Linked DNA regions of Arabidopsis thaliana. The protein of the gene in region 2 interacts with the protein of the main gene of each other region in a pairwise test. Each region holds a gene or a part of one and is shown on either strand. Other genes may lie near its edges.

Region 1 (5,049 bases), on a different chromosome or scaffold from region 2:
TATAACATATGCTTAAATATATTCTCAACATATTTTTTTGCCATCCTTAACACTTAAACTTCCAAATGATATAAAATTGATATTTTATTGAATATTATAATACACATGTTCTTTAAGAAAAAAAAGATATCAAAATTACCAACAAAGCTTATAATTAAAAATTGTACTAGCTGAGTCATAAAATTCTTTATTTTAGTTCTGTTTTCCAACTATTTATACCGTAAATATGTCAGAAGAAAATCATATAAAAAATTTGGAGTGGTGTTGTAACAATACTAAACTTTAGGATGTAACTGGTATGTAATCTACTATCTTTTCCAACCAATCGAGTTTGAAGAGGTAGAAACCCACCCTAAAACTCACAATTCATAGATAGTATAATTCTAATAATATAATCTATTTTCTTCTTCTATTATGAAAAGTGATTTATATCACTTCTCCTATTATTAGATTTGTAGTTATAAAAAAAAAAATATTGGTTCCACAATAAGTAATTCTACCTGCAACATACTTTTTTTTAACCAATATATACCTTTCATTAAACAAGAAACCGAATACAAAGTCCTGCCTCCTATAATGAATAACACCTACAACATAACAAGCAAACAGAGCACATTATGAATTACAAAGAGCAAAGCAAGTTGCTAGAAATGAGATTCCATGGAGGCCTAATCTTTGAGCTCTTGACAAAGGATCTAAATGACACCGAATGATGTTTTTAATCTCCATAACGAGATTGTGTAGCAGAGAGTGTCTTTCTTTACAGATGATATACATAGAGGCTTGGTAAGCAAGTCGAATTTACTAATCAACAACAACAACATACTAATCAAATATCCTAAAATGTGTTTATTACTTATTAAAAATTTGATTCTTCCGGAATCGAATTTAAAATCCATCATACAAGCATTAAACTCTTGATCAATGTGCATGGGTAGATCTATGCAAAGCACATAATATAACTATTGAAGACTGAAGAGGAACATGCGTGTAGATATGTATTCAGATGAAGAAACTTACGTCCGACTATGGGAGTGGTTTGTTACGTAATCATGAATTTCAGCTTCATGAAAGGTGGACAGTTGGGTCTATGGATATTTATTAGGAGACAAAGCTAGCTCAGCTTTTGCTAGTTGCTACGCATAACAATATTTATTTGTCGTTTATTCTCAACTCAAATATTTGCATATGTCTTCACACAATTATTTCTGTAAATTTTTATCACTCTATAACATATTTTACGTCGGAACTAAAGAATCAAGGAAAACTAAAATCGAATAATAAGAAAATGACAAAGAAGGGAAAATAAATAGTAGTTGAGACACCGAAAGAAGAATGAATAACCTAAACGCAACGAAGAGAAGCTCTCAACAAAGTTAGTTAGGGTTTTACACGTTATCTTAGCTCATGCAATCTGCCCCTTTCATCATTCTAATTCTTTTTATAATATATACTTTTTATACTAATGTGTTTAGTTACATTCCACATATATTATACAAAAAATATAAAAGTAAATACATACATATACATGATCGTCATGCATGTCCTGCACTTAACCTACCAAAAACAATCTCTCCTAATAAGAGAGAAGAAAGAAAAAAAATTATAACTCAGATATTTTCACACATATATAAATAAAGTTTTGTGGTGACGTTATTTTACACGAAAAAGCTCAACCTTGTATGGAAGTAATTAGCTGCTACCTATTACTGATTATTCTTCTTCTTCTTCTTTCTTCCAATTTCTTGTCTTCTTTTGGTACAATTTCTTGGCTTTCTCTTGTCAAGTTTTCACCAGTCACAAGATTTTTGAGGAGCCTTGTTTTTTCCGAGAATCTTGTGTAAGTTCTTGTTGGCATATTTTCCTCATGATATTTTAGCTCTATCATCATGAAAAATTATACATTTTGTCCCCTCTAGTTATTGTTTCTAATCTCTTTTTTTTGTTACTAACAAATCCATTAAATATTGACGCAATAGATTTGTGCTTTTGTCAGTAATCATATTGAGAGATTAATGGAGAGTAATATGCAAAACTTGTTGGAGAAATTGAGGCCTCTTGTGGGTGCAAGGGCTTGGGATTATTGTGTTCTTTGGAGACTAAACGAAGACCAAAGGTTGATTTGATTCTTTTAATAAGTAGTTAAGCTTTAAAGAGTTTTTATCTCTATCTATCCATCTTTCTTTCTCTTTCGTCACAAATATTTGTTATTGTGGTTTTGGAGGAGACAGGTTTGTGAAGTGGATGGGATGTTGTTGTGGTGGGACAGAACTCATAGCGGAGAATGGAACAGAAGAGTTTAGCTACGGAGGTTGTAGGGATGTTATGTTTCATCATCCTCGGACCAAATCTTGTGAATTTCTTTCCCATCTTCCAGCTTCCATACCTCTTGATTCCGGGTATGATCATCTATAATATATATACAAGCTACATATATTCTTTCATAAGAAACGCCTAGAGATGGAAAAATATGGATTTTGCTATAGGATATATGCGGAGACTCTTCTGACTAACCAGACTGGTTGGTTGAGTGAGAGCTCAGAACCAAGTTTTATGCAGGTACTATTACCCGATTCTTGGAGTTTTGAGTAATCACAATCTCATGAACAAGAAGTATTAATTTTCGGTTTTTCTTATATCCTGTAGGAAACAATCTGTACTAGGGTTTTGATTCCTATACCGGGAGGACTAGTGGAGCTCTTTGCGACCAGACATGTATGTTTATGTCTCAATAATGTTAAGTTTATGGTTTTTTGTATTGTGGTTGTTTGTGATGATGTGTGCGCGTATAGGTCGCTGAAGATCAGAACGTGGTGGATTTTGTAATGGGACATTGCAACATGTTGATGGACGATTCTGTAACGATAAACATGATGGTAGCAGACGAGGTCGAATCGAAGCCGTACGGGATGTTATCCGGTGACATCCAGCAAAAGGGTTCCAAAGAAGAAGATATGATGAATCTCCCTTCGTCTTACGATATCTCTGCTGATCAGATCCGACTCAATTTCTTGCCTCAGATGAGTGATTACGAGACACAACACTTGAAGATGAAGAGTGATTATCATCATCAAGCCTTGGGGTATCTCCCAGAGAATGGTAACAAGGAAATGATGGGTATGAACCCATTTAACACGGTGGAAGAAGATGGGATTCCAGTGATTGGAGAGCCTAGCTTGCTTGTGAATGAACAGCAAGTTGTTAACGATAAGGATATGAATGAGAACGGTAGGGTGGATTCAGGGTCGGATTGCAGCGACCAGATTGATGATGAAGATGATCCAAAGTACAAGAAGAAGTCAGGAAAAGGATCTCAAGCCAAGAACCTGATGGCTGAGAGACGGAGGAGGAAGAAGCTAAACGATAGGCTTTATGCTCTCCGGTCGCTTGTTCCCAGGATAACCAAGGTATCTTGGTTTTCGTCTCTGGGTTTACTTCTTGGTTTCTGAGTTATAATGCGTTCTCTGAAACTAGTTTTTGTGGCATGGAAGTTGGACAGGGCGTCGATTCTTGGCGATGCAATCAACTACGTTAAGGAGTTGCAGAATGAGGCAAAGGAGCTTCAAGACGAGCTTGAAGAGAACTCAGAGACTGAGGATGGATCTAATAGGCCACAAGGAGGGATGAGCCTGAACGGGACAGTGGTCACTGGGTTTCACCCGGGGCTTTCATGTAACTCCAACGTTCCTAGCGTGAAGCAAGATGTTGATCTTGAGAATTCCAATGATAAAGGACAAGAAATGGAGGTTAGAGCATCATAACAAGAAACTAACTCTCACCTTTCTTCTAATCTGAACTCTAAAATCAAAACCTCATGATATCGGTTTATGTTGGGTTGCGGAGTTTCAGCCACAGGTGGACGTGGCTCAGTTAGATGGCAGAGAGTTTTTCGTAAAGGTGATTTGCGAATACAAACCAGGAGGCTTCACAAGGCTAATGGAGGCACTGGATTCTCTTGGACTAGAAGTCACAAATGCTAACACGACTCGCTACCTCAGCCTGGTCTCCAATGTCTTCAAAGTCGAGGTATGATCTAAAGGACCTGCGGAATGGAGAAACAAAAACCAAAGCAAAATATACAAAAACTATATGTTTCTGTTTTCCCATGTTACAGAAAAATGATAACGAGATGGTCCAAGCTGAACACGTAAGGAACTCGTTGCTGGAAATAACCCGGAACACATCTAGAGGATGGCAAGATGATCAGATGGCTACAGGCTCTATGCAAAACGAAAAGAACGAAGTTGATTATCAACACTATGATGATCACCAGCATCACAATGGTCATCATCACCCATTTGATCACCAGATGAATCAGAGCGCTCATCATCATCACCACCACCAACACATCAACCATTACCACAACCAATAAGGACCAATTCCCCAAAGCTATAAAGATGTCTGCTTTACAAGCAAAAGAAACATTCTGCATCAACAAACTTTGAAGATCTTTTCATTTCAAGATATATAAGGATAAAAGGAATGTCAGTTCGAGAACAGTTCCTGTATCCAATACCAGGAATAAACCAAAGCGAAACAACTTTACTTAAATAATCTTTGTTAGAAAAGTAATTTGACAACCCATGACAAAAGAAACAGGTGTTGAAGTGCACCCCTAAAACTTTTAAGTAGGCCCCAAAACATGACCAACCAAAACAAATTCATTTGTCGATATTGTTCGACCAGATGGGGTTACAACTTAGTATCGCTTAATTCTTGTATAACTCCAAAAAAACTCTACTACACACGTTTCAGAAATATCTGAATTTGAAACTTGTAATAGTAAAGAAGCCGCAAACCTTCACTTGGTTCATTGGCAACGATCGGTGTATCCAGCTCCTTTTAGGATTGTGTTATTGCTGCTGCAGATGCTGGAATTCATTGCAGTCAGCTCCTACCTCGCTCAGTGCTGAGAAAAGCTTTGGTGCTATCTTAGCCAGCATAAGCTTAAAACCAACTGAAGTTGAATTAGCGCTGCTGCGTTCATCGATAACCGAGGCATCTTTGGTGAGGGAACCTATGAGATATCCTTTCATGTAGGCGTCACAT
Region 2 (3,362 bases):
GACTATGGTCAAGGCATTTGATGAGGCCATAAACGATGGCGTTGATGTATTGTCGATTTCTCTCGCCTCTGCGGCTCCTTTTCGCCCAATTGACTCTATTACGGGAGATTTGGAGCTTGGATCATTCCATGCGGTGATGAAGGGCATTCCGGTTATAGCTGGTGCCTCTAATACAGGCCCCGAAGCTTACACTGTGGCTAATGTATTCCCATGGATGCTCACAGTCGCTGCAACTAACATAGACCGTACCTTTTATGCAGACATGACTTTTGGAAATAACATTACCATAATTGTATGTGAAATGTTTTTTCAGGTCTTTTCACCATCGGGTTTCACTAGTCTTGGAAACTTACTCTTTTCCCTTAAAAACTGTTTCAGGGTCAAGCTCAATATACAGGTAAGGAAGTATCTGCTGGTTTAGTTTACATTGAACACTATAAAACCGACACCTCTAGCATGCTGGGAAAAGTTGTCCTGACGTTTGTGAAAGAAGATTGGGAAATGGCAAGCGCATTGGCGACTACAACTATCAACAAGGCGGCGGGGCTGATCGTGGCACGAAGTGGTGATTATCAAAGTGATATTGTCTATAATCAACCATTCATCTACGTAGACTATGAAGTCGGAGCTAAGATTCTACGATACATCCGCTCGTCAAGGTATACTATCCTTTATTTTATATTTTTTGTGATTGATCATCCTTCCGAGTCACATAGAGTATGTAAAACTGATCATCTTCTTATGGCTTGCGGTCTCTTCAGTTCTCCCACGATTAAAATTAGTACTGGTAAAACGCTCGTAGGACGTCCTATTGCGACTCAAGTTTGCGGATTCTCATCTAGAGGGCCTAATGGACTCTCTCCTGCCATTCTCAAGGTTCTTTCCCTAAACAGTGTTTCAAAATCTTGTCTGTCGTTTCCAATTTAAGGATCACCTGTTAATGATGGAAATTTCTTTGGGTTTATAAATGATGCAGCCTGATATAGCAGCCCCTGGTGTGACGATTTTAGGAGCTACATCTCAAGCCTACCCCGATTCTTTCGGCGGTTATTTTCTAGGCACAGGGACATCCTATGCCACTCCCGTTGTTGCGGGGCTCGTCGTACTACTCAAAGCTTTACACCCTGACTGGTCTCCTGCTGCGCTAAAATCTGCTATTATGACTACAGGTTCTTGAAAATGGAAAACCACTTTCTTCTCCTCACCAGAAAACCACCATTCGTTAATTTAATCTTACCAGAGTTTCTTCTCTTGTTATTATAGCATGGAAGACTGATCCATCCGGGGAACCAATCTTTGCGGAGGGAGAACCACGGAAACTGGCTGATCCATTTGACTACGGTGCAGGACTCGTGAACGCGGAAAGAGCCAAAGATCCAGGACTAGTTTATGACATGAACATCGACGATTACATTCACTATTTCTGCGCCACTGGTTACAACGATACATCAATCACTATAATCACGGGAAAACCCACAAAATGCTCGTCTCCATTACCGTCTATCCTCGATCTTAACTATCCCGCCATCACGATTCCCGACCTTGAAGAAGAAGTGACCGTCACAAGAACGGTGACTAACGTTGGACCTGTGGACTCAGTTTACAGAGCCGTGGTCGAGCCTCCGCGAGGTGTGGAGATTGTTGTTGAACCAGAGACTCTAGTGTTCTGTTCGAACACGAAGAAACTTGGGTTTAAAGTTAGGGTTTCGTCGAGTCATAAGAGTAACACTGGTTTTTTCTTTGGTAGTTTCACTTGGACTGATGGGACTCGAAATGTTACCATTCCTTTGTCTGTAAGGATTCGTGTTTTGAACCCTTGAATAAGAAGATTCCTCAATTCGTCATAAATTGTTTTTTCTCTCTATAATGAAAACAAAAATTGTTATTTTAGTCTCTGTATTTGACTCTAACTGAAATCACATTCACTTAATAACAAACTGAGACTAAGATTCTCTCTTTTATTCTCTCTCCACTAACAGACTTCTATCTACATGAGAAGCAACTATATAACTCATGTCTTTTACCACCATTACATAAATAAGAATATAAACACTTTTGTCTGAAAAATTATCAAAGAAGAAGAAATAAATGGGTGGAGGAAGCAGATTTCAAGAACCAGTGAGGATGAGCCGTAGGAAACAAGTAACAAAAGAGAAGGAAGAAGATGAAAACTTCAAATCTCCAAATCTTGAAGCAGAGAGACGTAGAAGAGAGAAGCTTCATTGTCGGCTTATGGCTCTGCGATCTCATGTCCCCATTGTCACCAACGTAAGTCCCAAATCTCGATTATTATTTTATGGGTATTTTGGTGATGATTGTTGTTGTTTTTGTTTCGTTTTCAGATGACTAAAGCAAGTATTGTTGAAGATGCGATTACTTACATAGGAGAGCTTCAAAACAATGTTAAGAATCTCTTAGAGACATTTCATGAAATGGAAGAAGCTCCTCCTGAGATTGATGAAGAACAAACGGATCCAATGATAAAACCTGAAGTTGAAACTAGTGATCTTAACGAAGAGATGAAGAAACTCGGAATCGAGGTTTTTAAAATTTCTCTAATCGATTTTTGATTCATTTTCTTTATCTTTCTTGATGATTTTTTATTTTTGGGACAGGAGAATGTGCAATTGTGTAAGATTGGGGAGAGGAAGTTTTGGTTAAAGATCATAACAGAGAAGAGAGATGGGATCTTTACTAAATTCATGGAGGTTATGAGATTTCTCGGATTCGAGATTATCGATATTAGTCTAACAACTTCAAATGGAGCAATTCTTATTAGTGCCTCTGTTCAGACACAGGAACTCTGTGATGTTGAACAGACAAAAGATTTTCTTTTGGAAGTTATGAGAAGCAATCCATAAGTATTAATTATATACATCTTGGAAATTTCTTGATCTAATAACATTTCCATTGGTTTTTATTACATTGTTGTTCCATTTTAAATATGATATGATTCAGATGAAAAAGAGTTTGTGTTACAAGCCAATGAGCTTCTTCTTGTCTTCATATATGTTGCTGCAAAATGTTCATGATCCTCTGTTTGAGGTCAAAGAAAGAAAACACTAGATATTATCTCTAGGATCCGAGCAATGGGGGTTTCTTTTTAAAATGGGCTTAGAATGAATTAGCTCTTAAATGGGCCATTCTCAAGTTGAGCCCATTTAATTTCAACCATCCAAATGGTGAGTAGTGAATAGTGATGTTCATTTGTGTAAGGTTGGAAGTTGGTAGAAACCTAAGTTTTTTTATTCAAATATCAAAACTATTCAATAGAGCCAAAATCAAAAGACATTTTCCTAACCTATTAACTATTTTTTTATAAAAATAATAATATACCTTTATCATCTCTGACTTTCCCTACT

Evidence for each region.
Region 1: the proteins of DYT1 (region 2) and AMS interact in a two-hybrid assay, tested with the Arabidopsis thaliana proteins (one study listed by BioGRID).

Annotation. Positions count from the first base shown.
Region 1 is NC_003071.7:7,329,706-7,334,754, forward strand, and holds AMS (basic helix-loop-helix (bHLH) DNA-binding superfamily protein), read left to right. Parts: upstream 1-2,015; coding exon 2,016-2,116; intron 2,117-2,231; coding exon 2,232-2,399; intron 2,400-2,486; coding exon 2,487-2,559; intron 2,560-2,646; coding exon 2,647-2,715; intron 2,716-2,792; coding exon 2,793-3,407; intron 3,408-3,491; coding exon 3,492-3,746; intron 3,747-3,779; exon of another isoform or gene 3,780-3,849; coding exon 3,850-4,026; exon of another isoform or gene 4,027-4,105; intron 4,106-4,114; coding exon 4,115-4,372; 3' UTR 4,373-4,549; downstream 4,550-5,049. Other genes in the region: UBC23 (ubiquitin-conjugating enzyme 23), read right to left, coding at 4,854-5,049. UniProt on the Arabidopsis thaliana protein: Transcription factor. Plays a crucial role in tapetum development. Required for male fertility and pollen differentiation, especially during the post-meiotic transcriptional regulation of microspore development within the developing anther.
Region 2 is NC_003075.7:11,347,834-11,351,195, forward strand, and holds DYT1 (basic helix-loop-helix (bHLH) DNA-binding superfamily protein), read left to right. Parts: upstream 1-2,088; coding exon 2,089-2,268; intron 2,269-2,342; coding exon 2,343-2,540; intron 2,541-2,615; coding exon 2,616-2,861; downstream 2,862-3,362. UniProt on the Arabidopsis thaliana protein: Transcription factor. Involved in the control of tapetum development. Required for male fertility and pollen differentiation, especially during callose deposition.